Macaca mulatta: one gene and its partners. The protein of the gene in region 1 purifies or fractionates together with the protein of each later gene. This does not show direct contact. Links are inferred from orthologs where the notes say so. Each region holds a gene or a part of one and is shown in the gene's direction. Other genes may lie near its edges.

Region 1 (4,273 bases):
ATGGCACCACTGCACTCTGGCCTAGGTGACAAAGCGAGACCCTGTCTTAAAAAAAAAAAAAAAAAATTCTAATCAAACAACACCATTAAGAGTGAAAAGGCAAGCCACAGCGTGTGTTCATATGCCTAATATATAAAGAAATTCCAAGAATCAATAAGAAAAAAGGCAGACAACTCCATAAGGAAAAAAATGAGCCAAGGACTCGAAAGAACACTTCACAAAGGAAGCTATCAGAATGGGCACCATACACATGAGAAAGTTCTCAGCTTCATTAGTTATTAGAGAAAAGCAAAGCAGTAGTGCAATACCACCACACACCCATCAGAATAGCTAAAGTTATAGACTTAAAATGCAAACAAGCCTGAAGCTGGAAGCCATGAAAACCCTTACACACCGCTGGAGTGTGTATATTATTTCAGCCTCTTAGTATAACTGTTGGGCATTACTTATTGATGATAGATATAATACCCTATGTCCCAGCAATTCCACTCCAGGAAAAACTCATGCAAATGTGCATCAGATCCACGTACCAGAAAATTCATAGCAGCATTACTCAGAATAGCCCTAAACAGAAAACAACTTTGATGTCCATCAACAGCAGAATAAGTAATTTATGGTATAATATATACAATGGAACTCTCTTCAGCAGCGAAAGCAAACAAACCATCTCTGTAGGCAACCTGGATGGACTCCAGACATAATATAGACTCAAAGAAACTAGGCCAAAAAAAGCATACTGCATGATTCTATTTATATCAAAAGCAAGCAAAACGAATCTGTAGTGTTGAGTTCGCGGTTGCCTTTGGGAAAGAGGAAGGCTTTCAGAATAGTGGTTTTTTGGATCTCGGTGTCGGCTAAGCAGTTGTGTTCACTCTGGTCATTAATCACGCTGTAAATTCATCATATGCACACTTTTCTGTATATCATACTTCATATGAATATTCAGAAGTCTAAAGGCCACAAGCTTAACCGCAAACCCTACCATGCCCTAGGCCAGGTTGGACTTGCGGAGCTGTGGGGTTGTCCCGGCGACCTGCCCCAGGCGGGCCACCTAGCCCGGGATCTCACACTGTAACCCGGAGCCAAGGCCCAGGCCCAGGCCCAGGACGGGTACCTGAACTCCTGGACCCTTCACTGAACCCCACGGGTCCCCGCGCCGGCTGGTGGAGGGAGAGCAGTCACAGCTTCCCGTCCCACCTCAAGGTGCGCTAATGCATGAAAAAGTTCCCCTCGGATGTTTCCACATTCGCCTTAACTTTTAAACACCAACGTCTGGAATCATAGGTTCTCCAGACTCCAAACACACCCCAGGAAAGAACCCAGAACCAGACACAGCCCCTGCGCGCCCGGCAAGACTTCCGGCAAGAACGACCCCGAAGGCGTGGCTCTTCCATTGCTTCGGCCTGGCGGGCGAGCTGCGCGCGCACTCGGGGGCTGCGATTGGTGCTGCCTGGCGGTGGGGCGCGGGGCACGCTGGGACGTCTCGCTGGCGGGAGGCCACGGGCTTTCCACGGCGCGAGGAGACGGGAGGCAGCAGGATGGTCAAGCTGACGGCGGAGCTGATCGAGCAGGCGGCGCAGTACACCAACGCGGTGCGCGACCGGGAGCTGGACCTCCGAGGTGAGTCCGAGGGCGTGGGCGGCCAGCCCCCGGGCGGCACCGCGTCGCCTTATTATCCGCGCTCTGCCGCGTGCACCGAAGGCCGGAGCTTGGCCCGCGGGCCGGTTGTCTGGGCTCCGACCGGGCTGCGCAGGGAACGCGGGGCCTGATTCTTGCCGTTGTTGCCAAATGAGCATCCCGTTAGGCTCTTGGAGCCTTCTCTTACCGCCGTGCCTCTTGACAGGCACGAGTGACTTCATTACTTCCTGGTGCATACTCGTGGGGCTCTATTAGGCCTTGCTTGGCTGTTTCGCAGTTGGCTCTGTTTGAGGGCCCGGAAGAGCGGCTCGTTAATGGTTGTAACGCTAGTGCAGGGCGAGTGATTGGTTCTTAATACTTGCCGCCAGACGATATTTTGAGCGTAGATGGGATATGTGTTCGTTGTTCCTAATGTGAGGGAGGAAACCAAGTCCCCGAACAACAGCGATTGTTTCCCCCAGTATTTTCTACTTAGTACCTTTGTCTGGCGTTTCCCCTTTATGAAGACGTTTTAAAAATTGAACTGTGTGACCCAGGTTTGCACAGCCCTGTGCTGTGTGTAAGTTGTGGAAGCGCTCGCAATTATTCAGATTCCTGTACTATTTCAACCTTAGCAAGACTTGGTAAGATATTGGGAGGGCAGCTAGCTAGTTGGCATTTCAGGAGACGACTTTAAAAAGGATGTGAAGAGCAACTTCTCTGGGGATAAGACCATGCAGCCGTAGCCTGAGATTTGTTCCCACGGGGACCTATGGCTTTGGAGCAGCATCGCTGCGGGATCTGCTTAGATTTCTTGCTGACCTTTGGGAAATCCCGTTGTGTTGTGTTGTGTGTTGTGTTCTGCTTAGATTTCTTGCTGACCTTTGGGAAATCCCGTTGTGTTGTGTTGTGTTGTGTTGTGTTGTGTTGTGTTGTGATGGAGTCTCGCTCTTTCACCCCAGCTGGCGTGCAGTGGTGTGGTCTCGCCTCACTGCAACCTCCACCTCCCCGGTTCAAGTGATTCCTGTGCCTCAAGCCTCCCGAGTTGTTGGGATTACAGGCGTGAGCCACCACGCCTGGCTGATTTTTGTATTTTTAGTAGAGACGGGGTTTCGCCATGTTAGTCAGGCTAGTCTCGAATTCCTGACCTCAGGTGATCCGCCTCCGCCGGCCTCCCAGAGTGCTGGGATTAAGACGTGAACCACTGCGCTCGGCCCCCAGTATTTTTATTTTGTTGAAATTAAGTTTGTTAGAGAAAGGTTCAGTTCAAGAGCAACTCACCACTTTTTTTTTTTTTTTTTTTTTTTTTTGAGACGGAGTTTCGCTGTTGTTGCCCAGGCTAGAGTGCAATGGCGCGATGTCAGCTCACTGCAACCTCTGCCTCCCGGGTTCAAGCGATTCTCCTGCCTCAACCTCCCGAGTAGCTGGGATTACAGGCCTGCGCCATCACGCCCGGCTAATTTTGTATTTTTAGTAAAGACAGGGTTTCTCCATGTTGGTCAGGGTGGTCTCGAACTCCCGACCTCAGGTGATCCGTCCTCCGCGGTCTCCCAAAGTGCTGGGATTACAGGCTTGAGCCATTGCGCCCGGCCCAACTCACCACTTTTGATGATCTCTGCCATTTCTCTTTATGGAGTACGTGCAATATTGAGAATACATATTTTGATGCAATACGTGTAGTATAGCTCTGAATTGTGCCCTTTAACTTTGGGTGAATTCTTTTTTAGTAGACCTTGCTTCTTCAGAATATTTCTTTTCTTATAGTGCCTAACACAGTAATTATGCTCAAATTGGACAAATTAACATTTGAGTGTTCACAGGTTTATTACTCTATGTAAACCATTGAGTTCTTCAACTCTAAATTGTAGCTGGGGGAGGGGAGGGAGAACTGTCATATCTTGAGGCTGTTCTGATGGGTTCTAAGAATCTGGCCCGTGGAGATGCAAGAGTGGAGAACTGTTATCCACAATGTTTGAACGCTGTTTGGGCACTGAGACTAAGCAGCTCAAAGTGTAAATTCCTGTTGTGCGGATTCCGCTTAACTAGCCCAAATGACTTAGAACAGTGTGAGGCACCTTGTAAATGTTCTTATAAATGTTAGCTACCTATATCACCCATTATTATTGTTCTTGTCCTTGTTGTCATTAGATTGTAAGCTTCATGGCACTGGGTACTTGAGACTCGTTCAGCATTTTCTCTCTAGTATCTTGTACAGTGGCAAGGCATGTATGACATGGCATAGGTGCTAGGTAATGCTTCCTGAATAAATCAAAGCCTGGAATCAGATACTATGAAATACTGCTAATGTTTTAAGGGGCTGTTTAGTTATATTAATACCTCTTGTGTGTTTTTTTTTCCTCCATTTTACAGGGTATAAAATTCCCGTCATTGAAAATCTAGGTGCTACATTAGACCAGTTTGATGCTATTGATTTTTCTGACAATGAGATCAGGAAACTGGATGGTTTTCCTTTGTTGAGAAGACTGAAAACATTGTTAGTGAACAACAACAGAATATGGTAAGTGCCTATAGGGGAAAGTAATTTTTTCCCCCTAGGGTAAATGTTGCAGTGTTCCCTGAAGAAGCTGTAGCACGTACTACCGGTTAAACCTACATGGTTTTTTTAATTTAATTTTTATATTTTTAAAAAATATTT
Region 2 (4,118 bases), on another chromosome or scaffold:
CCCCGGTGGATGACCTGAGCCTCTCCCTGCCGCGCCCCTGCCCCTCCTCCTCACTCCCTGGGTTGGGGGCTCCCTTAGCCCGGCCCCCAAGCGCGACGGCCCAGGGCCGGCCGCAGCCCCTTCCCGAACGCCGGCATCCCCTTCCGCTTGGGCTGCCCAGCCCTGTCCTCGCCGGACCCCTTCCTCCTGGAAATCAACCAGGCAGGAGGGTGCCGCCCCCCTCTCGGGTGGGGGACTGTATAGACCCCGTCTCCGCCCCAGCCCCGCGGAGGAGCTGCCCACCTGATTCCCGGACAGACCTCCCCAACTCCGCGCGAGACAGAGAATTATTCAGAGAATTTAAATTAAAAAACGACGTGAAAATTTGGAATAAACTGGGCCTCAGCCTTTTCCTAGGAGGGGGACGTGCCTGGGAGGGGGAGGCCGTCGCCCCGACGACGGTGATGGGGTTGCTGGGGCTTCCAAGGGGGTGGGCGGTCAGGCGGGAGGCCGGGTAGGACAGGGTGTAATTAGCCCCCCGGAGGCAGAGACGGAGAAACAGCTGTGCCCCTGAAATCTTGGAGGCAGAGCTCTGGAAAAGAAGCGCGGACACAGCCGGGTGCGGTGGCTCACGCCTGTAATCCCAGCGCTTTGGGAGGCCGAGGCAGGCGGATCACGAGTTCAGGAGATCGAGACCGTCCTGGCTAACACAGTGAAACCCTATCTCTACTAAAAATACAAAAAATTAGCCAGGTGTCCCAGCTACTCGGGAGGCTGAGGCAGGAAAATCGCTTGAACCCAGCAGGCGGAGGTTCCAGTGAGCCGAGATCTGGCCACTGCACTCTAGCCTGGGCGATAGAGTCTCCGTCGCAAAAAAAAAAAAAAAAAAAAGTAAAAAGCGTAAACGCTACCCGCTGGGCTACCCGGACCAGTGAGTGGCGCGAGAGGCGGGACTCGATGACCTCGAGCAGGGGAGGCCACCCAGCGGCCAGGCCAAGTCTGGGGGATTCTTCCGTCCGGCCGCCAGGGGGCAGTAACGCCAGATCATCTGTCTCCCGGAAGGACTGCGCGATCATCCATCTGTTGCGCCTGCGCGACGGGAGGGGCCGGAGCGCGTTGATGCGGTTGCCAAGACAACCAAGAGGGTGGCCGGATTTAACCGTTGGGGATTAAGCACTTTCACTCCAGGAAGGGAAAATCTCGCGCACGCGCAACGGGGACTGAAACCTGGTCCCCGCAACCCCCTTCACCGGAGCAGTGGGAGAGCGCGCCACAGAGACACTTACGCAGGCGCAGAAGCCTGTTTCCCCCTCACCCGCCGCTTCCACCCTGCGCAGGCGCAAAAAGCCGCGCTGGCAACCTCCGCAGCGGTCGCGCGCACCGTTCACCCCTCTTGCTGCTTTTGTCTCGCGCAACCTTCTCAGGCCCTCCGCGAGGCCGGTCCTTTTTTTCTTTCACTTTCCCCACCCGGAGAGCCAGGTGCTGAGAACCGGTACCTCGTCTCCTTCTCTGTATCCCTTCCCCTGACCCACCTCGCCTCCGTCCTCCCTCCCTTTTCCGTTCCCGAAGCCGGAAGGAGCCGAAGCACCCACGAAAAAAGCCGAAGCTGTCCCCGGAGAGTGAGGCCTTCACGAAGCGGTGGCGGAAGGAGCCGAAGTTCTCTGATCTGCGGAGTGAGCAAGTGGCATCTCCGGAAAGAGCCGAAACTTGGACTCGAGCTTAATCCCAGGAGGGGCCCGAGGGCGAGCTCCGGAAATCTCCGGAAAGAGCCGAAGGCCGGGACGGTTAGGATTGTCGGAAGTGGCCGATTGCTTGGACAGGGCCGGCGGAGAAGATCGGAGGAAATCCGTGGAAGCAGCCAAAGACTGGGACGGATTGAATTGTCGGAAGAACCCGAACTCGCAGAGGGGGCTGGGCGCAGTGGAACACGAGGACACACGGAAACCTCCGAACGTTGAGGAGATAATTTTGGAAAAGTTACGGAAACCTGGGAAGTCGGCGAAACCCTACCTTCGGGTGTTTTCGGAAGCAGTCGCAGCTGCCATCTGCGTCTCCTTCGTCCAGTGTCCGGAAATAGCCGACGCGCTTCGGAGCCAGGCTCGGGGGGAGGGGCAAGCTCGCGGGCGGGCGGGCGGGTGAGGGGGCGGAGCCCGGGCGGGTGGGGAGGGCTGCCGGAGGCTTGATTAGGTAGGAGGTGGCGAAGCGCCGGCGGCGGCCGGAAGTAGCCGAAGCCAGCGGCGGAAGTAGCCGAAGCGGCCGGAGCGGGCGGCAAGGCGAGGCGAGAGCTGCACAGGGCCCTACGCGGCCGCCTCAGCATGTCGGACTTCGACGAGTTCGAGCGGCAGCTCAACGAGAATAAACAAGGTGAGGGCGCCGGGGTCGCGGGGCGGAGGTGTGGGCGGCTCCTCGCGTCGCTCTTTGCCCCCCCGCCATTTTCTCCCTCGCTTCCCCCCACCTCTCACGGCCGTGCGACCCCCCCCAACCCCGGTTCCGTGGCGCGCGCCTCGTTCACGTGACATCCCCAGCGTTCGGCCGCGCGCTAGGCGAGGGGAAGGGGGCGGCAGGGCGCGGGCCCATGACGCATGCGCACGGCGGCTGTCCCCGTGCCCCACGTGGTCCTGCCGGAGGTGGCTCGGGGGACGCGGCGCGAGTGCGCCAGGTACCTCGACGTGAACTTTTGTTTTTTAAAATCTTTTTGTATTCTCTGAAAAGGAGATTATGTTAGGCCCCGTAATCCGTTCTTTTTCTCCCGCTGCCTTGGCACTTCCGCTTCCGGTCGGGCCCACGGCCGCGTCTCCACGCCCCCTTTGTTTCCAAAATGGCGGTTGTGAGGAGTCGGGGGGGCCCCCCTTTCCCTCCTTCACGTGGATGAGGACAGAGCTGTTTCGGGGGACTCTTGGAGGCCACGAGCCCGTCTCATACCCCTTTTCCTTTTTGCTGATTTGCTGCGACCTCTTCTGCCAGGTGGTTTCTGCCCCGTCTGTTGGTAGTGGGGCGCCTCATATTAACGTGTTGGGCGCATGTTCCCTGAAGCATCTGCATTCTTTGAGTGTCGGCACGCACGCATCCTGCATATGCGGAACTTTTGGCGGTCCCGAGAATCGCGATATGGAGTGTTTGAGACAAACCTCAAATCATGTACGATCCCAAACTCGGGGCACCTGATAATACTCAGCCTCAGATCTCGATGTAGAGATAAGGAAACAGGTTCTGAGGGAGGAAGAGGGATCTGGCCCACTGCGCTAAACTCTTCACTTAACGGGGAAGGTGGGAGGCAGGTTCCTTTCAGGGTATCGAGAATGTGATGGGTGAGAACAAAAAGCGTGGGGCCCTGCTGATCTTAGGGATTCCGAGAATATTAGAAGTGGGAGAGTTGTTCCATGTTTCAGTTTGAGAGTGAAGAAACACAGGACTAGGGAAGGTTGGGGACTTGTTTCATTTCTTTTGAGGCTTCAGCTGCCCATGATCCTAGGTCGTTCGGAGGACGAAATGAGGGCTAAGGAATTTTCCTTTGAACCCAGGGGCTGTATTAGGAAACAGTGCCCTGGGGAAGAAATAACGTTTACTGAGGGTCTGACTCTGTCTTAGGTGATGGACTGTTCAAGAGCATAGGCTTTGGAGTTGAGCACATCAGGGATTTAGATACTTGCTTTGTTGGTTAGTAACTACTTTTAATACGTTTATCTTTCTTTTTTTTTTCCTATTTGTAGACTGATTATTATTTTCTTCTCACTCGGTTTTGAGAAGATTAGTAAGGATTATAGTAACGATAGGTGTAGTTAAACTCTGAGCGCTTATGTGTGCCAGGCTCTTCGCTAAACTCTTAGCGTGATTTTATTTAGGGGATCCTTGTAACAGCCCTGTGAGGTCAAAATGATTTCCACCTCTACTGGGGAGGAAACTGAGGGCTCAGAAAAATTAAAAACTTTCTCAGGGCTCAGCTAGTCAGAGGCAGAGCTGAGATTAAATGGGGTAACGTAAAGTGTGTGGCATGTGGCATGTGGCTTGGTGTACACTAGGTGTGCAGTAAGCGATATTTGCAATTGTAAAATTCCATGCTTAAAGAGGAGGGTCTTCCACTCACAGAGATTGTGTCACAGTTGGGAAAGGGCAGGAAAAGGTGCTTTCCAAATGTCATT
Region 3 (3,500 bases), on another chromosome or scaffold:
CACCATGTTGGCTGGGCTGGTTTCAAACTCCTGACCTCAAGTGATCTGCCTGCCTCAGCCTTTCAAAGTGCTGGGGCTGGGATTACAGGTATGAGCCACTGTGCCTGTCCTTTTTTTTTTCGAGACGGAGTCTCGCTTTGTCGCCCAGGCTGGAGTGCAGTGGCGTGATCTCGGCTCACTGCAAGCTCCGCCTCCCGGGTTCCTGCCATTCTCCTGCCTCAGCCTCCCCAGTGGCTGGGACTACAGGCGCCCGCCACCTCGCCCGGCTAGTTTTTTCTATTTTTTACTAGAGATGGGTTTCACCGTGTTAGCCAGGATGGTGTCAATCTCCTGACCTCGTGATCCGCCCGTCTCGGCCTCCCAAAGTGCTGGGATTACAGGCTTGAGCCACCGCGCCCGGCCTTTTTTTTTTTTAAAGGGAAGAGGTCTTGCTGTGTTTCCCAGGATGGAGTGTAAGGATTATAGCCCACTACAGTCTCTGAACTCCTGGGTTCAAACTGTCCACCCACCGAAGCTTCCCAAGTAGCTGGGACTAGAGGCACATGCCATCACTCCTGACTAATTTTTTTTTGAGATGGAGTTTTGCTTTGTTGCTCAGGCCGGAGTGCAACGCCGCAATCTTGGCTCACTGCAACCTCCACCGCCTGGGTTCAAGCGATTCTCCTGCCTTAGCCTCCCGAGTAGCTGGGATTACAGACATGCACCACCACACCTGGCTAATTTTTGTATTTTTAGTAGAAACAGGATTTCACCATGGTGGGCAGGCTGGGTTCTGGTTGTTTATGATCTCTATTTTTTGGTGATCTAGGAACCAAACAACAAGAAATTGTTGTTTCCCGTGGGAAGATCTTGGAGCTGCTTCGCCCAGACCCCAACACTGGCAAAGTACATACCCTACTCACTGTGGAAGTATTCGGTGTTATCCGGTCACTCATGGCCTTTAGGCTGACAGGTGGCACCAAAGACTACATTGTAGTTGGCAGTGACTCCGGTCGAATTGTTATCTTAGAATACCAGCCATCTAAGAATATGTTTGAGAAGATTCACCAAGAAACCTTTGGCAAGAGTGGATGCCGTCGCATCGTTCCTGGCCAGTTCTTAGCTGTGGATCCCAAAGGGCGAGCCGTTATGATTAGTAAGTGATTTACTTGCTGTGTGTGCTTAGTTTAGGATAACAATGCTGTGATCTTGGTGGTGTGCCAGTTCCAGTTAATCACTTACATGGGTTTGGCATCATGTTTGGATTTACTCTAGGTTTAAAGTTGCATTTCTTTTTAAAAGAGTTGTATTTTCTTTTAAAACAATGGGAAAAATCTTAACGTACTTTTCTACTTCCCATCTAGTTGGAAATGAGTGTTTTTCAGTTTCTTTGTCTTTGGCAAAAAGACTAAAATGAAATGATCTTATGTTATTAGACAACGAATTTAGTTGCGTTCTTCAGCCTGAAGTGATGATTCACATTCATGTCTCTTCTCTGATAAATTTTTGAAGACAATTTTGTGTATCTGATCAGGCCTCTAGAGGGCAGTCCTCTCTGAGTAGTCATAAAATTGTTAGATCTAATTCAGAGAATAAAACTAATGATAATTTTATGAATTACTGTTTTTCAGTATCCTTAAATCTAGGACTCATTAAAAAATTTTGACGAGTTCGTGGGATATTTAAGATCCGTATTAGGAAAGAGGGGGCCACCACGATGCCATTGTCTTTAAAAAAAAAATTATTTATTTTTAAGAGATGGGTGTCTCAGCCGGGCACAGTGGCTATTTATTTTTAAAAGAGATGGGGGTCTCACCCAGGTGCAGTGACTCATGTCTGTAATTTCAGCACTTTGGGAAGCCGAGGTGGGAGAATCACCTGAGGTCAGGAGTTCGATACCAGCCTGGCCATAATGGTGAAACCCTGCCTCTACTAAAAATACGAAAGTTACCTGAGTGTGGTGGCGTGTGCCTGTAATCCCAGCTACTTGGAAGGCTAAGGCAGGAGAATCGCTTGAACCTGGGAGGCAAAGGTTGTAGTGAGCTGAGATAGCGGTACTGCGCTCCAGCCTGGACAACAGAGTGAGACTGCATCTAAAAAAAAAAAGAGAGATGGAGAACTCACTATGCTGCCCAGGCTGGTCTTGAATTCCTGAGCTCAAGCAATCCTTCTGCCTTGGCCTCCCAAAGTGCTGGAGTTACAGGCTTGAGCCACTGTGCTCAGCTCCATTATTGCTATTCTTTTTTTTTTTTTTTTTTTTTTTAATGAGACAGAGTTTCACTCTTGTTGCCCAGGCTGGAGTGCAGTGGTGCGATCTCAGCTCACTGCAACCTCTTCCTCTCGGATTCAAGCGATTCTCCTGCCCCAGCCTCCCAGGTAGCTAGGATTAGAGGCATGTGCCACCACACCTAGCTAATTTTTTGTATTTAGCAGAGATGAGGTTTTACCATGTTAGTCAGGCTGGTCTTGAACTCGTGACCTCAGGTGATCCACCCGCCTCAGTCTCCCAAAGTGCTATTCTGATGATAGAGAACAGAATCCTGAGTTGTTATGCTTGTAGAGTTACTGCTGTTAATAATGATTAAAAGAAAAGCATGATGTGACTCTAGTTCTGTAAGTGTCTCTTCTCATCTGGGAATCTTGTATGTTTTATCTCCTTCAACTACAGGTGCCATTGAGAAACAGAAATTGGTGTATATTTTGAACAGAGATGCTGCAGCCCGACTTACCATTTCATCTCCCCTGGAAGCCCACAAAGCAAATACTTTAGTGTATCATGTAGTTGGAGTAGATGTTGGATTTGAAAATCCAATGTTTGCTTGTCTGGAAATGGATTATGAGGTAATGGGGACCCTGTCTCTTTGCATTTCTTTCAGTCACCTCGTTGTTTTTTTAAAGATTGTTTTCTTCCTTGTGCATATGTGTTTTTTTTGTTTTGTTTGTTTGTTTTTTGAGACAGAGTCTTGCTCTGTTGCCCAGGCTGGAGTGCAGTGGCAGTCTCAGCTCACTGCAACCTCTGCCTCCTGGGTTCAAGTAACTCTCCTGCCTCAGCCTCCTGAGTAGCTGGGACTACAGGCACTGCCACTGCGCCCAGCTAATTTTTGTGTTTTTAGTAGAGATGGGGTTTCACCATGTTGGCCAAGCTGGTCTCCTGACCCCAGATGATTGGCCCACCTCACCCTCCCAGACTGCTGGGATTATAGGCCTGAGCCACCTTGCCCAGCCCCTTGTTCATGTCTTAATTCTGTCCTGCTAGCACATCTTCTCCATATTCCAAATGCCTTACTGAAATTATTTGGGATGCTTCAGAGGTTAACCAACTATTTAATAGTCTTTCTCTGATTTAAGTAATCTCTCTATGGAAACGAGATATTTATTGGGAAAAGCTTCATGAAAAAGGTGAAGCTGTGTTTAAGGTATTTTTTCACAGAGCATACTATTCTTTGCCTTGAATGGAAGGCAGTGTTCTCTAGTAGAGAGATCCCTGGATCCAGAATTTGGAGATTGCAGTTCTCATTCTA
Region 4 (3,500 bases), on another chromosome or scaffold:
GTGAGCCACTGTGTCCAGCCAATTGCATATATTTCTACCTCTGTATAAAGAAATTAGAAATTTTCTAGTTTGCTTGTGTTATTTTAAAATATTAAACTTGGGCTGGGCATGATGGCTTGTGCCTGTAATTCCAGCACTTTGGGAGGCCGAGGCGGGTGGATCACCTGAGACCAGCCTGGCCGACATGGTGATACCCCGTCTCTAATAAAAGTACAAAAAATTATCTGGGCATAGTGGCAGGCGCCTATAATCCCAGCTACTCGGAAGGCTGAGGCAGGAGAATAGCTTGAACCCGGGAGGCAGAGGTTGCAGTGAGCTGAAACTGCACCACTGCACTCCAGCCTGGGCAACAGAGCGAGACTCCATCTCAAAAAATAAAAAATAAATAAATAAAAATTAAACTTGGATATTTCACTTTGAACCATTGAGTAATTTAGTAAGACTCTTTTGTGACTTTTAAAATTCTGCAGTAATGTTGTCAATCTCGAGGTTTTATTAAGTGGATCAGATTTTATCTTGTGATGTAAGTAGGATACATCTTGTTAGTGTCTAATAATTGCACTTTTTCATCATTCATTAGGGTTATGCTTATACTTTTATCACAGAAGATCAAGCTCGCTATGCTGGTGACATAATTAAAGCTCTTGAATTGTCAGGGACCGCAGTACCTCCTGATTTAGAGAAACTGTGGAGTGATTTCAAAGATCAACAGAAAGCTGTGAGTTTTTTAACCCATGTCACTCTTTTAGAAATCATTAATGTGACTAAACCTTGATTATTTAATTCTTGGAAATCTTTTTTACTTAATACTTGGAAATTTTGATAGTACTGTTTTTATTTCTCTTCAGAGAGGGAAAAATGAAAGCTAAAATCCTATCTTTTTCTTGAACTTAGTATTTTGTGGTGTCTATGTAGAGCTCTTAGTTTATCTTACATGCTGGATGAACTGTTTTTATTACATTGACATACACCACCTTGAAAAATATTTAATTAGTATGAATTCCTAAACATTAAAGTTATTACTATGAGATTAACTTTGTTTTCTTTCTTTGAAAGGAGGGGAAAATAATTAAAAAGAGTAGTGGGTTCTCTGGTAAGGGATTCAAGTTTGATGAAACAGAACAAGCTTTGGCTAATGAGAGGAAGAAGTTACAAAAAGCAGCTCTTGGTCTGCAAGATTCAGATGATGAGGATGCTGCAGTTGACGTAAGTACTGTTGTTCTCTCATTCTTAACTGAAGCAGTTATTTCTTTTGTACTGGAGGTCTTGCCATATGCTTATCAAGATAGACAATCATTGGAAATCTTCTTTACAAGAGGATGGTTCCAGAATAGTTTTGGAAAAATCTGCCTAGTGCATACCAATACCCCTCCTCTCAATATATAGACCACTCATTAGCACTTCAAAGGATGTGAAAGTCTTTTTTTTTTTTTTTTTTTGAGATGGAGTTTCGCTCTGTTGCCCAGGCTGGAGTACAGTGGTGTGATCTCCACTCATTGTAACCTCTGCCTCCCAGGTTCAAGCAGTTCTCCTGCTTCAGCCTCCTGAGTAGCTGGGATTACAGGCGTCCGCCATCACGCCCGGCTAATTTTTGTAGTTTTAGTAGAGACAGGGTTTCACCTTCTTGGCCAGGGTGGTCTCAGACTCCTGACCTCAAGCGGTCCACCCTCCTCGGCCTCCCAAAGTGCTGGGATTACAGGTGTGTGCCACCTCACCCAGCCATGGATGTGAAAAGTCTTTAAGGAATCTTGTTTAACTTTGTTAAACCCAGAAGTTCCCCAACATATCTGATCACAGAACACTTTTGGACATATCATGTTAAATAAATTTAAGTTCAGAAAACAATGTTGGAAATCAGGAATTCAATCTGATCTTGTCATTAGGAAATGGACTCCAAGACAAGATGTTAGGTCCAGGACCACAGTGGGAGTTACAGTCAGGACCAGAACCCAGGTGTCCTATTAACCTTAAGCCATTTCTTTCTAGGATACCATACTAGTTCAAAAAATTAGCCCGGTGTGTCTTGCTCTGTCACCCAGGCTGGACTGCAGTGGCACAGTCTCAGTTCATTGCAACTTCTGCCTCCTGGGTTCAAGTGATTCTCCTGTTTCAGTCTCCTGGGTAGCTGGGATTACAGGCACCCGCCACCACACTGGGCTGATTTTTGTATTTTTAGTGGAGATGGGGTTTCACTGTGTTGTCCAGGCTGGTCTCAAACCCCTGACCTCAGGTGGTCCACCCACCTTGGCCTCCCATAGTGCTGGGATTATAGGTGTGAGCCACTGTGCCTGGCTAATAAAGTCTTTTTTTTTTTTTTTTTTTTTTTTAAGACAGAGTCTCACTCTGTCACCAGGCTGGAGTGCAGTGGCTCAATCTCGGCTCACTGCAACCTCCACCTCCCGAGTTCAAGCAATTTTCCTGCCTCAGACTCCCGAGTAACTGGGATGACAGGCATGCGCCCCATGCCTGGCTTATTTTTTTTTGTATTTTTACTAAAGATGGGATGTCATGATGTTGGCCAGGATAATCTTGATCTTTTGACTTCGTGATCCGCCCGCCTTGGCCTTCCAAAGTCTTCGGATTCACCTGGCCAAATTTCATTTTTTTAATTTATCTGTGACCATGTAACAAATCAAAACTTAACAGGTTAAAGCAATAAACATTTATTATCACATAGTTCCTGCGGGCCAGGAAATCAGGAGCAGTTTAGTCAGGTAGTTCTGGCTTAGGCGCTCATGGGATTGCAGTCATCTGCAGGCTTGACTGTTGCTGGATGATCTGTTTCCAAGATGGCTCATTCACTTTGATGTTGATAGGATGCCTCACAGTTTTTCACCACTTTGCCTGTCCTTACGCACGTGGCAGATGGCTTTCCCCACAGTGAGTGATCCAAGAGAGAGAGCAAAGAGAAAGCTTTTTAGTGCTTTTTATGACTAGTCTCTGAAATTATACAGTCACTTCCACTTTATTCTTTGTGGAGTTTGTTTTTCTCTTGTTTGTTTTGTTTTGGAGACAGAGTCTGACTCTGTTGCCCAGGCTGGAGTGTAAGTGGTGCGAACTCAGCTCACTGCAGCCTCTGACTCCTGGGCTCTAGCAATCTTCCCACCTCAACCTCCTGAATAGCTGGTACTATAGGTGCACCACCATGCCCTGTTAATATATATTTTAAAATGTATTTTAGAGTTGAGGTCTCATTATATTGCCTAGGCTGGTCTCAAATTCCTGGGCTCAAGTGATCCTCCTGCCTCAGCCTCCCAAAGTGGTGGTATTACAAACATGAGCCACCATGCCCAGCCTACTTTATTGTATTAGAAGGAAGTCATTAAGTCCAGCCCACACTCAGGAAAAAAGACTATTAAATAATTTGTAGCCATGTTTTAAAAACACCTGTCACTTTTTGACATTATGGTAGTTTTATCTGTGATTTTAGTTGCTGTAGGTTAACCACAGTCTGAAACTATTACAGTGTTTTGAGACCACATTCATATAACTTTTATTAC
Region 5 (3,500 bases), on another chromosome or scaffold:
GACTTCATTTCCTACAACACTGTACTAGTCTCAGACTTATTTCCTAAATCCTTTTTTGAGTAGTAGAATGTTTTAGCTGTTATTTTGCAGACACATTTTCATGCATCTTTGACTCTTGTTAGGTGCTTGAACATAAATTCTGAGTTGAGAGGCCTGAATTTGTAGTCATAGTCTATTTAAACTTGCTGTGCAAGGTAGGATGTTGAAGTTAGTTAATTTCTCAGTTCCAGAACTGTGAACTTGGTGGGTGCATTCCCTTGAAGTCTTTCCAGCCCTGTTGAGGCTTCCTCTGAGCCTGCCCACATTCCTGCCCTTTCCCCTCTCCAGGACCTTGGCTTCTGGTGGTGATGGTGCAACTTCTGCTTCCTGCCACAGGTGCCCTGGGGCTGTTAGTGTCTCGTGACTGTGGCAAACTGTGGCTTCTCCTTAGGTGCTGGTGTTTGTCCACTCCCGGAAGGAGACTGGAAAGACGGCCAGGGCCATCCGGGACATGTGCCTAGAGAAGGACACTCTGGGTCTGTTTCTGAGGGAGGGCTCAGCCTCCACGGAAGTCCTGCGAACAGAAGCGGAGCAGTGCAAGGTGAGGAGGGGCCGGCTGGGTTCCCTCATGCCTATCTGGCAGCCGTGTCCATCTGAGGCCTCAGACAGCTCCTCTAGGACTAGACTATGGTACTGTTGTTTCCCATGGGTTAAGGTTGATTGTCTGGATGTGATTATTACTATTCCACATAGTAGTTAAGGGGCAGGGTCTCATGGGAAGAGATTTCCTTAGTCCTTGGGTGAGTCCTACAGGAAGGCTCACCTCATCCCTGGTCGTTTGTTCCACAGAACCTAGAGCTGAAGGATCTTCTGCCTTATGGCTTTGCTATTCATCATGCAGGCATGACCAGGGTTGACCGAACACTCGTGGAGGATCTTTTTGCTGATAAACATATTCAGGTGAGGGAGTGCAAAGCTTTTGGAGGAGCAGGTGGGACGTACTTCAGAAGACTGGCAGTGTCAAGGTTGTGCCATGTTTGCTCCTGGTACTTTATTGCTTCTGGCCCAGCTAGCCCAGGTCGGAGGGTTGTGGTGGATACAATAAATAGAACCTTATGCCACTCTCCCAACTCTTCACACCTTGTGTGAGGGAAGATGAGTGAGTTTCGGACGGTCTGAGAAGCATAGTGAAGCAAGCACTTTGGTGACTTCAGATAGCTCCAAACAGTGCTTCATGGGGGCGTACGTGGCCTTGTCATTCCCTCTTTCCGGATAGCCTCTGCTTGACCTTTTCTAGTAACTTTAAGGTGGTTTAATACAGGTCTGCACTTGTGCCTCCGGAACCTTGAAATGTTCGTTCCTGAATAGATGAGGAACCCAAAGAAACCTTTCCTCTTTATTCTAGTGTCACATTGACAAGTACTGGGACCCCCCACACCCCACTGGCTAGTCTGATAGAAGCTCTGAGGCCAACTGCCTAGAGAAGCCGGGGATATTAACCCCTGATGGTGGCATCTCTTCTCATTGCCTTGCTTTGCCTCTGTAGGTTTTAGTTTCCACAGCAACTCTAGCTTGGGGTGTGAATCTCCCTGCACATACGGTCATCATCAAAGGCACCCAGGTGTACAGTCCAGAGAAGGGACGTTGGACAGAACTGGGAGCACTGGACATTCTGCAGGTACAGAGCCTTTGAGTTTATCCTCAGTGGGGATCGATATCCTCGCCTGAAATGCAGAGATGCTGTAAAGCTGGCAGATCAGAGGCCTAGTTCTGTAATGTAGATCCCTGCATCAAAATCACACATTCTCTTGCTATAGCATTCTTGGTTCGCTGTCCCTGATCTAGATGCTGGGACGTGCTGGAAGACCCCAGTATGACACCAAGGGCGAAGGCATCCTCATCACGTCTCATGGGGAGCTGCAGTACTACCTGTCCCTCCTCAACCAACAGCTTCCTATTGAGAGCCAGATGGTTTCAAAGCTTCCTGACATGCTCAACGCAGAAATCGTGCTGGGGAATGTCCAGAATGCCAAGGTATGGGAGGACTCTGCCTGTTGTGCTTCATGCCTTCCCCACAGACACCAAGGCACCAGGTGTGGGTCGGTCCCTATTGTGCCGCGGGACAGCGGCGTCCGAGGCTTTCCGTCCCTGCACCCACATCTTGGGTCTGGCAGATAGTTCCCCTTGTTACCAAGATCTTAGAAGATGCTTAGATGTTTTTACTAATGAAATGCTGAACACATTGAGAATATGATGTAATATGCATCGTTGTAGCTGGGAATTTCTAAGCAATTCATGGTAGCCTTTCATTTGGACATCAAGAGTTTCTTCATACTAAGAACCATGAGCTGTGTCTTGTAGGACGCAGTGAACTGGCTGGGCTATGCCTACCTGTATATCCGAATGCTGCGGTCCCCAGCCCTCTATGGCATCTCTCATGATGACCTCAAGGGAGATCCCCTGCTGGACCAGCGCCGACTAGATCTGGTTCACACGGCTGCCCTGATGCTGGACAAGAACAATCTGGTCAAGTACGACAAGAAGACGGGCAACTTCCAGGTGCGTGGGGTGAGGGTTTTGAGGCAAAGGTCTCAGCAAAAGTTACTGGCCCAGGAGAAGATTTTCCAGATTGCTCTCGACGTGAGCACTGCCTGTCTAATCACCCGTTGCTTAGAACAGCAGAAAAGTGGTTGCTTTTCCTGTAACTCGAAGTGGATAATTTAGCTGTCTTGTCTGTGCAGGCATCATTTCACTATGGGTCAGCTTATTGTGCCATTTTTCTTCATGTGCCTGGGCCTGGCCTGGCACTTGCACTGCTGTGACTTCATCCAGTTGTCCTATTAGGACAATAACTTATAGGACATTGAGTCATATACTTTACCAAAAATCGCACAAAAAAACCTATAAGACAATAACTTAGGGTCCACAGTTAGAGGTGGGAGCTCATTAGTAGTCAGCACTGGATTGAGCCAACCTTCTCTCCAGGTGACAGAACTGGGCCGTATAGCCAGCCACTACTACATCACCAATGACACTGTGCAGACTTACAACCAGCTGCTGAAGCCCACCCTGAGTGAGATTGAGCTCTTCCGAGTCTTCTCGTTATCCTCTGAGTTCAAGAACATCACAGTGAGAGAGGTGAGCTATGCAGTGTGCTGGGGCGGGGAGTTGGTGCTCAGCAAGTTGCTGAATGGTTTCCCTCCTCGGCCACAAGGCTTTCCCTTGACCTTTTCCTGCTTGTGGCAGGAGGAGAAGCTGGAGCTGCAGAAGTTGCTGGAGAGGGTGCCCATCCCTGTAAAAGAGAGCATCGAGGAACCCAGCGCCAAGGTGAGCGCCGCTCCTCTTTGCTTTGGTCAGGATGAGGATTAAGTGGTTTTCATAATCTTCTAAAAGATGAACCTTGAATTTGGGTTCATGTGTGGTATCCTGCTCAGTTCTCCTAGTTTTTGCAGCCTTCTCGCATGTTCTTTTTATATGAAATAACAATTATTTAGTATTTGTAAATCAAGACCTGTAGAAGA
Region 6 (4,131 bases), on another chromosome or scaffold:
GGGGCGGACCGTGGGCGCGGGTGGGCAGGGAAGCCCGGGCGGTGGCACCTCAGGTGAGACCCGCAGTCTCTCCGGCGAAAGCAGCCCCGGGGCGGTCCCTGCAGCCGAACCCCGGGCGCGCCCGCCGCCGTCTCCCTCTGCACCCAGCCCGGCTGGCGGGTGGGCGGTGGGCGCTCGGGAAACCCGCGGATGGGGGTGGGGGCCGGGGCGGGGGAGGCGCGCCCATCCATCCCCGTCACCTATGCGGGCCACACACCCCTCGGTCTGCTCCGGCCGGTGAGGAAGAGTTCCTCTCCCAGCACCCCCTCCCCGAAAAAAGCAATTCCTCAGGGACTCGCGCTCACCGTGAAATCTTGGGGGCTCTCGCTTACCCCTTCTTCATGCTTCGGCAGCGGTCGCCGGTCCCCCTCGGCTCGCGGGACTCCACCTAGGGCTCCCAGGAGGGTCGGGCTCTGGGGCGGAACCCGCTCAGGACAGCGGCCGAGGCGCCAGGCCACTGGGAACGCCGCCTGGGGCGCCCACCGGCCGCCGGACCCACCGTGTGCTCGACGCGCGAGTGAACAACACCGCGAGCTGCCGCTCCCCCCGCCCCCTCCCCGCGCGAGACGCTCCACAACCGGACGCAGGGACCCGCGCCAGAAGCAGGGGGGACCGCGGGACTCTCTCCGGCTATGGTCCCATCCTTGCCCCGTGCCCCAGGAGCTATTCCCGGCCAGTCAGAGGTCTCAAAACTTCAGATTCTCACTTTCCTCTTCACCCTCGAGTGCCCAGGTGCAGTCGAGGTGGGAAACCCAGCCTCGGCCCACTCCTCCATCGGTGGGGCCGAAGCTCGCTCTTCCCCCCTTTCCTGAGGTTCTGTGGTATTGCCCAATCCTCAGTTTGGGGGAGGGGGACGGAGAGAACAGTGCTTGGCTAGGGAATGAGGGAAGATGACAGCCAATTGAATGGAACATCCATTCGGGGGCGGGGTCAAGGAGGGACCCGCCCCCGTCCCGCCCCCTCGTTCCAAACTACACTTCCCATTGTGCCCTCTGGTGCTTCCTGCCGCGCTGCACGCTGGGAGTGCAGGACCGCGAGGCCTCAAGGTATTTTGGAACTCGTATTCTTTAGTCAACTAGGTCCTGAAAGTTATAAGCTATTATAATTCTCTCTTTTTCCCTAGATAAACTTTTTTAAGCTCTCATTTCGACAGTAGTTATTCTAATAATAATTAGCTTGTTGTTTTAAAATGTAAGAAATTATTTCTTAGCAAAGAAAGTTAATGATGTGTTCCATGGCAATCTGTCAGGACCTGGGAGCCTCCTCTTCTTCCGCCCTGACAGGGTCCCCGCAGAAGATTTGTTGCCGTCATGTCGGCTGCGATTGCAGCTCTGGCCGCTTCCTACGGTTCGGGTTCAGGGTCCGAATCGGACTCGGACAGTGAGAGCAGTCGATGTCCGCTGCCAGCCGCCGACTCCCTCATGCACTTGACTAAATCGCCTTCAGCCAAGCCGTCTCTAGCAGTGGCAGTGGACTCGGCTCCGGAGGTGGCAGTTAAGGTAAGCACCTTTGCTACTGATGCGGTGTGGGAATTGTTGGCTTCAGCTCCAAAACTGCCAGCCGCTTGTTAGGTCCCGGCTTACCTCATTGCTCAGAGATAAGTTGCTAACGTTTGAATTTCTTCTCCTTCCCACATGCATCCTCGGGAGAAGCAGAATTGGAAGTTCGGAATAGCCCCCCGATGCTCTCTGCCCTTACCTCCCGCCATCAGAAAGCAAGTGGAAAGAGGGGGTGAAATTTGAATTTGTGAATTAGGGACATAGCCTGTAAAGTGCAGATGTAATCTCGGAACATAAATAAAATTAGATCAGGACTTCCCAAACTAGAGTATTGTACCTTCACTTGAAGTGAGCAGTGGCCTCGATTTGTTTTATTTTTGAAAAACTAGGTTCTAATCCTGGCACCACCACTTATGTGAACTTGGGCAAGTTATGCAGCCTCCTCTCTTTCCTCACCTGTACAAGCGGAGATCATTTTCAAAACACCTGTCTACATGAGAAGATGAGTGTGAAAATTGAGTGAAATTACACAAATAAAGCATATAGCACAGAGCCTGGTAACTAGTGAGAGTGCAGTAAATGTTTTATGATTATGTATGTTAATACAGTGAGAAAAAGGCCTTGGATTTGAGAAACAGCTGCATGATCTCAATGGAGGAAGCTGATTCAGGCAAGAGTTTCCAGGCAAAGGTGACAGGCAAGCCTGAGAAGGCAAAGAGCTTAGTGTGTTTGAAGAACTGAGGAAAAGCTGATGTGTCTAGAGCCTGATGAGAGCATCTACCAATTGATAGTGTAGGCCCAGTAGAGCCCGAGGTAGGTGATCAGCTCAAGATGTGAAGATGGGAGGCGGTGTCCAAAAATTCCTTTGTATCATGTCCCCAAGTCTAGTTTAATGACTTAAGGAGTGTTTTACAGATTTTTAACAAGCTGTCTGTGAATTTTACTTTTTAAAAATGGGCATCTGGCATGAAAGAATGCTTAGAATCCTAACTTCCTATCAAAACAAAACTTTCCAAACTTACGCCCCTCCAGTAACCTCCTGAGTCTTCTCCTTTCACAGCTCAGCTTTTTGGAGCTCTCTTTTTGTCTTCATCTCATTTTCTCCTCAACCCGATGCAGTCTGGCCCTACCCTCTTGGGAAACTGTCTGTGAGTGATGTCCCAGGCCTTGCAGTTGTCAGGTTCAGCCATCTGACTTAAATGTCTGCATCAAATGACACTGTTCATTAGTTCCTCTTTCTTGAAACTTTCTCTCCGTTTCGCTTCCATGGGGCTCTACTCAGCATTCTGTTCCAATTATTTTACTCTTTTCAATACTGGTGTTTCCTAGGACTCTGCTCTTGGTCCTCTTTGCATTCCACATATTCTTCCATACCTTCAACCTCAGTCTGTGCTGCCCCTAGCTCAAGGTGAACACCGTGAAATGGTTAGCACAGGCTCTGGAATTAAGACTGTAATTCAAATCCTGCCTCCAGCACTTACCCACCTGGGGACCTTGGATAAGCTGCTTAAATGCTCAGCACCTAATTTTTACTGATCTGTAAAGTAGGAATAACAGTAGTACCGATCTAACAGAATTATAAGAATTGCCATAAAAGATGTAAAGCCCTTTTAACAGTGCCACATGTTTGCTATCCTTTTATTTCCAGTTCTATCCTCCTTGCTAGCTTACAACCTTGAGAGGTATATAAAAATCTCCCACTGTAATTGTACATTTGTTTCTTGCAGGTTGGCACTCAGCCACCTCCAGTTCAGTGTGTTGAAAAATTATTTTCTTTCCCTCAAAATCCATTTCTGTTTTCCCCATTTTGATCTATGATCCCACGATCCACCCACTAGTTCAAGCCAAGAACAAAGGAGGTATCCTTTTCTCTTCCTTCTTCCTCAGCCCCTGAAGCTAGTCATTCAATTGATTCTAACATTTCTGTTTCATTAATTTATCTCATATCAACTCCTTCCTCACTATTTTCACTGGTGCAGGCTTCATATCTTCCTTATTTCTCCCAGGAGTTATTCTTTTCTTTCTCTTTCAGCCTCTTCTTTTGGATAGTGGGTCCTGTCTACTTTAACTCAATGATATTCATCAAATCTCTCTCTTCTGCTGCCACTGCTTAGTTCAGATTCTCATCATTTCTCTTCAGACAGTTGTAGCTTTCTAACTGATATTTCTACTTCTTCCTTTCTTGTCTCCCAGTGTTATACCCCATTCTTTTCTCCACAGGGCACCTAGAATGATCTTTGTAAATTCCACTTGCGTCCTATCACTTCCCTGCCCAAAGACACCGTATTGTCCAGTGGGTAATTTCTAAGTTTTTTTGGTAGCATGTGAGGGCTGCTATTCTCCCATGCTGAACTCTTTACAAAGCCCTGAAAGCCAAATTTTCTTTCTTCCTCTGAAGATTTTGCCCACGCTAGTCTTTCTGCCTGGAAATCCCTTGCCTAGTGCCTCCTTCCCCCATTCCAAACACTATGGTCCTTCAGTCTCACTGCGCGTTTCCTCCTATTCTACCTTAGCCCCTTTATCATATCTTAACTATAGCACTTAGCACATTGCCGTGACTTGTTCATCTTTTTCTTTGCCCTGGACTGTGAGA
Region 7 (3,500 bases), on another chromosome or scaffold:
TGTGAGACTCCTCTGATGAGTTATCTTTGCTCCACGGCTCCCCATTGGGTGGGTCAAGATTTTGTCCAATCTGCATTGTGGTCTAGGCTATCCTGGCCTAATCCTGCTTTCTCCTCCTTTTTGTCTTTCACAGAAATTACTCCCCCCAGGCCGGGCGCGGTGGCTCAAGCCTGTAATCCCAGCACTTTGGGAGGCCGAGACGGGTGGATCACAAGGTCAGGAGATCGAGACCATCCTGGCTAACACGGTGAAACCCCGTCTCTACTAAAAAATACAAAAACTAGCCGGGCGAGGTGGCGGACGCCTGTAGTCCCAGCTACTCGGGAGGCTGAGGCAGGAGAATGGCGTGAACCCGGGAGGCGGAGCTTGCAGTGAGCTGAGATCCGGACACTGCACTCCAGTCTGGGCGACACAGGGAGACTCTGTCTCAACCAAAAAAAAAAAAAAAGATTTAAAAAAAAAGAAATTACTCCCCCCAATAAATTATGCTCCTAACTCTGTCTTTTTTTTTTTTTTTTGAGATGGAATCACTCTGTCACCCAGGCTGGAGTGCAGTGGCACGATTTCGGCTCTCTGCAAACTCTACCTCCCGAGTTCACGCCATTCTCCTGCCTCAGCCTCCTGAGTAGCTGGGACTACAGGTGCCCGCCACCACGCCCGGCTAATATTGTGTATTTTTTAGTAGACACAGGGTTTCACCATGTTAGCCAGGATAGTCTCGATCTGCTGACCTCATAATCCACCCACCTCGGCCTCCCAAAGTGCTGGGATTACAGGCGTGAGCCACCGCGCCTAGCCCTCATATACCCTGGAGCTCACTTATAATAAGGTAGTTAAGAGAAAAAGGGCCTGGGAAGGCTTTCATCAGAAAGGTCACATGACCACTCCAGGTGGTGTTGCCTTACAGAAGTTAAGCAAAAGAGAGTTTCAGAAAGGCAGTCATGGTGTCAACTTACTGATTGATAACTGCCAGGATTGCTGTTTCATTAAAGTAGTAGGAATGGAAATCTGGTCACAAGGTAAAGATGGGTAATGGGGAAATATAAGTATGGAGTATGGAACATGCATTTGAAAGGCTGGTAGCAGCCGGGTTCAGTGGCTCACACCTGTAATTCCAGCACTTTGGGAGGCTGAGGCAGGTGGATCACAAAGTCAAGAGTTTGAGACCAGCCTGGCCAACGTGGTGAAACCCGTCTCTACTAAAAACACAAAAATTAGCTGGGCTTGGTGGTGCACGCCTGTGATCCCAGCTTCTTGTGGGGCTGAGGCAGGAGAATCGCTTGAACCCAGGACATGGAGGTTGCAGTGAGCTGAGATCACTCTGCTGCACTCCAGCCTGGGCAACAGAGCAAGACTCCGTCAAAAAAAAAAAAAATCTGGTAGGAAAAAGAAGGGGAGAAACAGGAGGGTATTGGGGAAGATAAAGAAGCATACTTATGGCCAGGCGCGGTGGCTCAAGCCTGTAATCCCAGCACTTTGGGAGGCTGAGACGGGCGGATCATGAGGTCAGGAGATCGAGACCATCCTGCCTAACCCGGTGAAACCCCGTCTCTACTAAAAAATACAAAAAACTAGCCAGGCGAGGTGGCGGGTGCCTGTAGTCCCAGCTACTCGGGAGGCTGAGGCAGGAGAATGGCGTAAACCCGGGAGGCGGAGCTTGCAGTGAGCTGAGATCCGGCCACTGCACTCCAGCCTGGGGGACAGAGCGAGACTCCGTCTCAAAAAAAAAAAAAAAAAAAAAAAAAGAAGCAGCTTACTTATTTGAAGGAGCACAGGGAAAAAGGAAGAGATTAAAAACAGCAAAAAAATAGAGGCTGTTTATTGCAGTACATAGTGTGGGGGTAAACGAAGGGATCCTCACACACATAGCCCCCTTGGAGGATGGAGAGTGAGGTCTTCTGCTAACCAAGAGAGAATAAATGAATACCATTCTGATGTGTTCACCTTATTCCAGCCATGGTCAAAAGGTAACGAGGAATAAATGCTTAAATAACTGGTTAGAAGGATGCCCAAGATATACTAAGTGTCAGAAGCAAGTCTTTTATGCTAAAAAAAATAATAAAAACGTATGCAGGCATGAATGTACTAATACAAATACATATATTTAAATATATAGAGCACTGTTTTCCAAACTTTCTGCATATTTGAGCCACCTGGGGATCTTTAAAATGTACTGATACCTGCCTTCCTTTGATTTAATTGGTATCAGGTGCATCAGAATTAAAAAAAAAAAACTCCCCGGGTGATTCTAATATGCAGCAAAGTTTGGGAACCACTGGCATAGGAAAAGCTCTGTTAACAGTGGTTACCTGTTCTCAGGAGAATTAATAAAGGTGGACTTTTGAGGTTTTGTGAGCATGTGTTACTTTAGTGAGTTTTACTCAAACAATACAAAAAAGCGGGGAAAAACAAGGTAATTGGAGAACAGTAGTAGCTTCCTAGTGAAAAATCAAGGCCAAATCATCAGAAGTCCAACTTTCTGTGTATTTCATTTCTGTGATCTTGCAACTTTTACATTGAAAAATCCACCTAAGGTCGGGCACAGTGGTTCATGCCTGTAATCCCAGCCCTTTGGGAGGCCAAGCTGGGCAGATCACTTTAGCTTAGGAGTTGAAGACCAGCCTGGGCAACATGGCAAAACCCTGTCTCCACTAAAAATATAAGAATTAGCCAAGCATGGTGGTGCGTGCCTGTAGTCCCAGCTACTCGGGTGGCCAAAGCAGGAGAATCGCTTGAACCTGGGAAGTAGAGGTTGCAGTGAGCCAAGATTGTGCCAGTGCACTCCAGCCTGGGCAACAGAGCAGAGTCCGTCTCAAAAACAAAAAAGAAAAATCCACCTGAGCTTTTACTTTTCCCCTCAGATCTGTGTGCCAATGTCAGTGGAATTTGAGGAGCTCCTGAAGGCTCGAGAGAATCCGAGTGAAGAGGCACAAAGTAAGTAGAGGTGAAAATTTCATTCAGCACCAGCAAAAGTACAGGTTAATTACAGCTCAGATTTGCAGCCATGGCCTCAGATATATTTATAGCCAGGATTTCTTGCTGGTTTCGTCTTTGCTGGTTTCTGGGCTAGAGTGACATCCTAAATTGGTCTTGGGCGCACAATGTTCATTTTGTTCTCTCCTACCTCAAATTTACTGGCTTGGAAAGCCAAGGATTGTTCACTTTAGGTCACGATACTAAAATGAGTCAGCCCTTGTTACCTTGTAAGAGAACACTCACTTTTGATCTCACTTAACTTATTGGAGGTTATATTGTGAGCAAAGGGAGGACATTTGGGTGAAGTGCTGCCTCAGGAAACTAGGAACAAGCAGTCCATTTGAAAAGGTAAGTCCAAGAGAGTGGTGTGTATAAACTGAATCATTGATGTATCTGATTCCCTCAGACTTGGTGGAGTTCACAGATGAAGAGGGATATGGTCGTTATCTCGATCTCCATGACTGTTACCTGAAGTACATTAACCTGAAGGCATCTGAGGTAAGACCTGGGAACGGGCAGAGAGG

The links.
Region 2: the proteins of SNRPA1 (region 1) and U2AF2 fractionate together in Homo sapiens (co-fractionation; 3 studies listed by BioGRID, with this or other methods). This does not show direct contact. The link is inferred for Macaca mulatta from reciprocal best matches to the Homo sapiens genes SNRPA1 and U2AF2.
Region 3: the proteins of SNRPA1 (region 1) and SF3B3 purify together in Homo sapiens (affinity purification with mass spectrometry; 5 studies listed by BioGRID and IntAct, counting the BioPlex papers as one, with this or other methods). This does not show direct contact. The link is inferred for Macaca mulatta from reciprocal best matches to the Homo sapiens genes SNRPA1 and SF3B3.
Region 4: the proteins of SNRPA1 (region 1) and DDX46 purify together in Homo sapiens (affinity purification with mass spectrometry; 3 studies listed by BioGRID and IntAct, counting the BioPlex papers as one, with this or other methods). This does not show direct contact. The link is inferred for Macaca mulatta from reciprocal best matches to the Homo sapiens genes SNRPA1 and DDX46.
Region 5: the proteins of SNRPA1 (region 1) and SNRNP200 fractionate together in Homo sapiens (co-fractionation; 3 studies listed by BioGRID). This does not show direct contact. The link is inferred for Macaca mulatta from reciprocal best matches to the Homo sapiens genes SNRPA1 and SNRNP200.
Region 6: the proteins of SNRPA1 (region 1) and CDC40 purify together in Homo sapiens (affinity purification with mass spectrometry; 3 studies listed by BioGRID and IntAct, counting the BioPlex papers as one, with this or other methods). This does not show direct contact. The link is inferred for Macaca mulatta from reciprocal best matches to the Homo sapiens genes SNRPA1 and CDC40.
Region 7: the proteins of SNRPA1 (region 1) and SF3A3 purify together in Homo sapiens (affinity purification with mass spectrometry; 6 studies listed by BioGRID and IntAct, counting the BioPlex papers as one, with this or other methods). This does not show direct contact. The link is inferred for Macaca mulatta from reciprocal best matches to the Homo sapiens genes SNRPA1 and SF3A3.

The regions. Positions count from the first base shown.
Region 1 is NC_133412.1:91,654,048-91,658,320, reverse strand, and holds the start of SNRPA1 (U2 small nuclear ribonucleoprotein A'), read left to right. Parts: upstream 1-1,473; 5' UTR 1,474-1,538; coding exon 1,539-1,620; intron 1,621-3,987; coding exon 3,988-4,135; intron 4,136-4,273. UniProt on the Homo sapiens protein: Involved in pre-mRNA splicing as component of the spliceosome. Associated with sn-RNP U2, where it contributes to the binding of stem loop IV of U2 snRNA.
Region 2 is NC_133424.1:68,003,124-68,007,241, forward strand, and holds the start of U2AF2 (splicing factor U2AF 65 kDa subunit), read left to right. Parts: upstream 1-1,318; 5' UTR 1,319-2,294; coding exon 2,295-2,343; intron 2,344-4,118. UniProt on the Homo sapiens protein: Plays a role in pre-mRNA splicing and 3'-end processing. By recruiting PRPF19 and the PRP19C/Prp19 complex/NTC/Nineteen complex to the RNA polymerase II C-terminal domain (CTD), and thereby pre-mRNA, may couple transcription to splicing.
Region 3 is NC_133425.1:69,321,784-69,325,283, reverse strand, and holds part of SF3B3 (splicing factor 3B subunit 3), read left to right. Parts: intron 1-764; exon of another isoform or gene 765-808; coding exon 809-1,135; intron 1,136-1,438; exon of another isoform or gene 1,439-1,517; intron 1,518-2,647; coding exon 2,648-2,820; intron 2,821-3,500. UniProt on the Homo sapiens protein: Component of the 17S U2 SnRNP complex of the spliceosome, a large ribonucleoprotein complex that removes introns from transcribed pre-mRNAs.
Region 4 is NC_133411.1:143,733,562-143,737,061, forward strand, and holds part of DDX46 (probable ATP-dependent RNA helicase DDX46), read left to right. Parts: intron 1-580; coding exon 581-718; intron 719-1,056; coding exon 1,057-1,206; intron 1,207-3,500. UniProt on the Homo sapiens protein: Component of the 17S U2 SnRNP complex of the spliceosome, a large ribonucleoprotein complex that removes introns from transcribed pre-mRNAs.
Region 5 is NC_133418.1:5,024,829-5,028,328, reverse strand, and holds part of SNRNP200 (U5 small nuclear ribonucleoprotein 200 kDa helicase), read left to right. Parts: intron 1-430; coding exon 431-580; intron 581-828; coding exon 829-939; intron 940-1,525; coding exon 1,526-1,657; intron 1,658-1,824; coding exon 1,825-2,013; intron 2,014-2,340; coding exon 2,341-2,538; intron 2,539-2,964; coding exon 2,965-3,117; intron 3,118-3,225; coding exon 3,226-3,306; intron 3,307-3,500. UniProt on the Homo sapiens protein: Catalyzes the ATP-dependent unwinding of U4/U6 RNA duplices, an essential step in the assembly of a catalytically active spliceosome. Plays a role in pre-mRNA splicing as a core component of precatalytic, catalytic and postcatalytic spliceosomal complexes.
Region 6 is NC_133409.1:15,228,564-15,232,694, forward strand, and holds the start of CDC40 (pre-mRNA-processing factor 17), read left to right. Parts: upstream 1-1,331; 5' UTR 1,332-1,349; coding exon 1,350-1,538; intron 1,539-4,131. UniProt on the Homo sapiens protein: Required for pre-mRNA splicing as component of the activated spliceosome. Plays an important role in embryonic brain development; this function does not require proline isomerization.
Region 7 is NC_133406.1:202,808,884-202,812,383, forward strand, and holds part of SF3A3 (splicing factor 3A subunit 3), read left to right. Parts: intron 1-2,861; coding exon 2,862-2,934; intron 2,935-3,382; coding exon 3,383-3,474; intron 3,475-3,500. UniProt on the Homo sapiens protein: Component of the 17S U2 SnRNP complex of the spliceosome, a large ribonucleoprotein complex that removes introns from transcribed pre-mRNAs.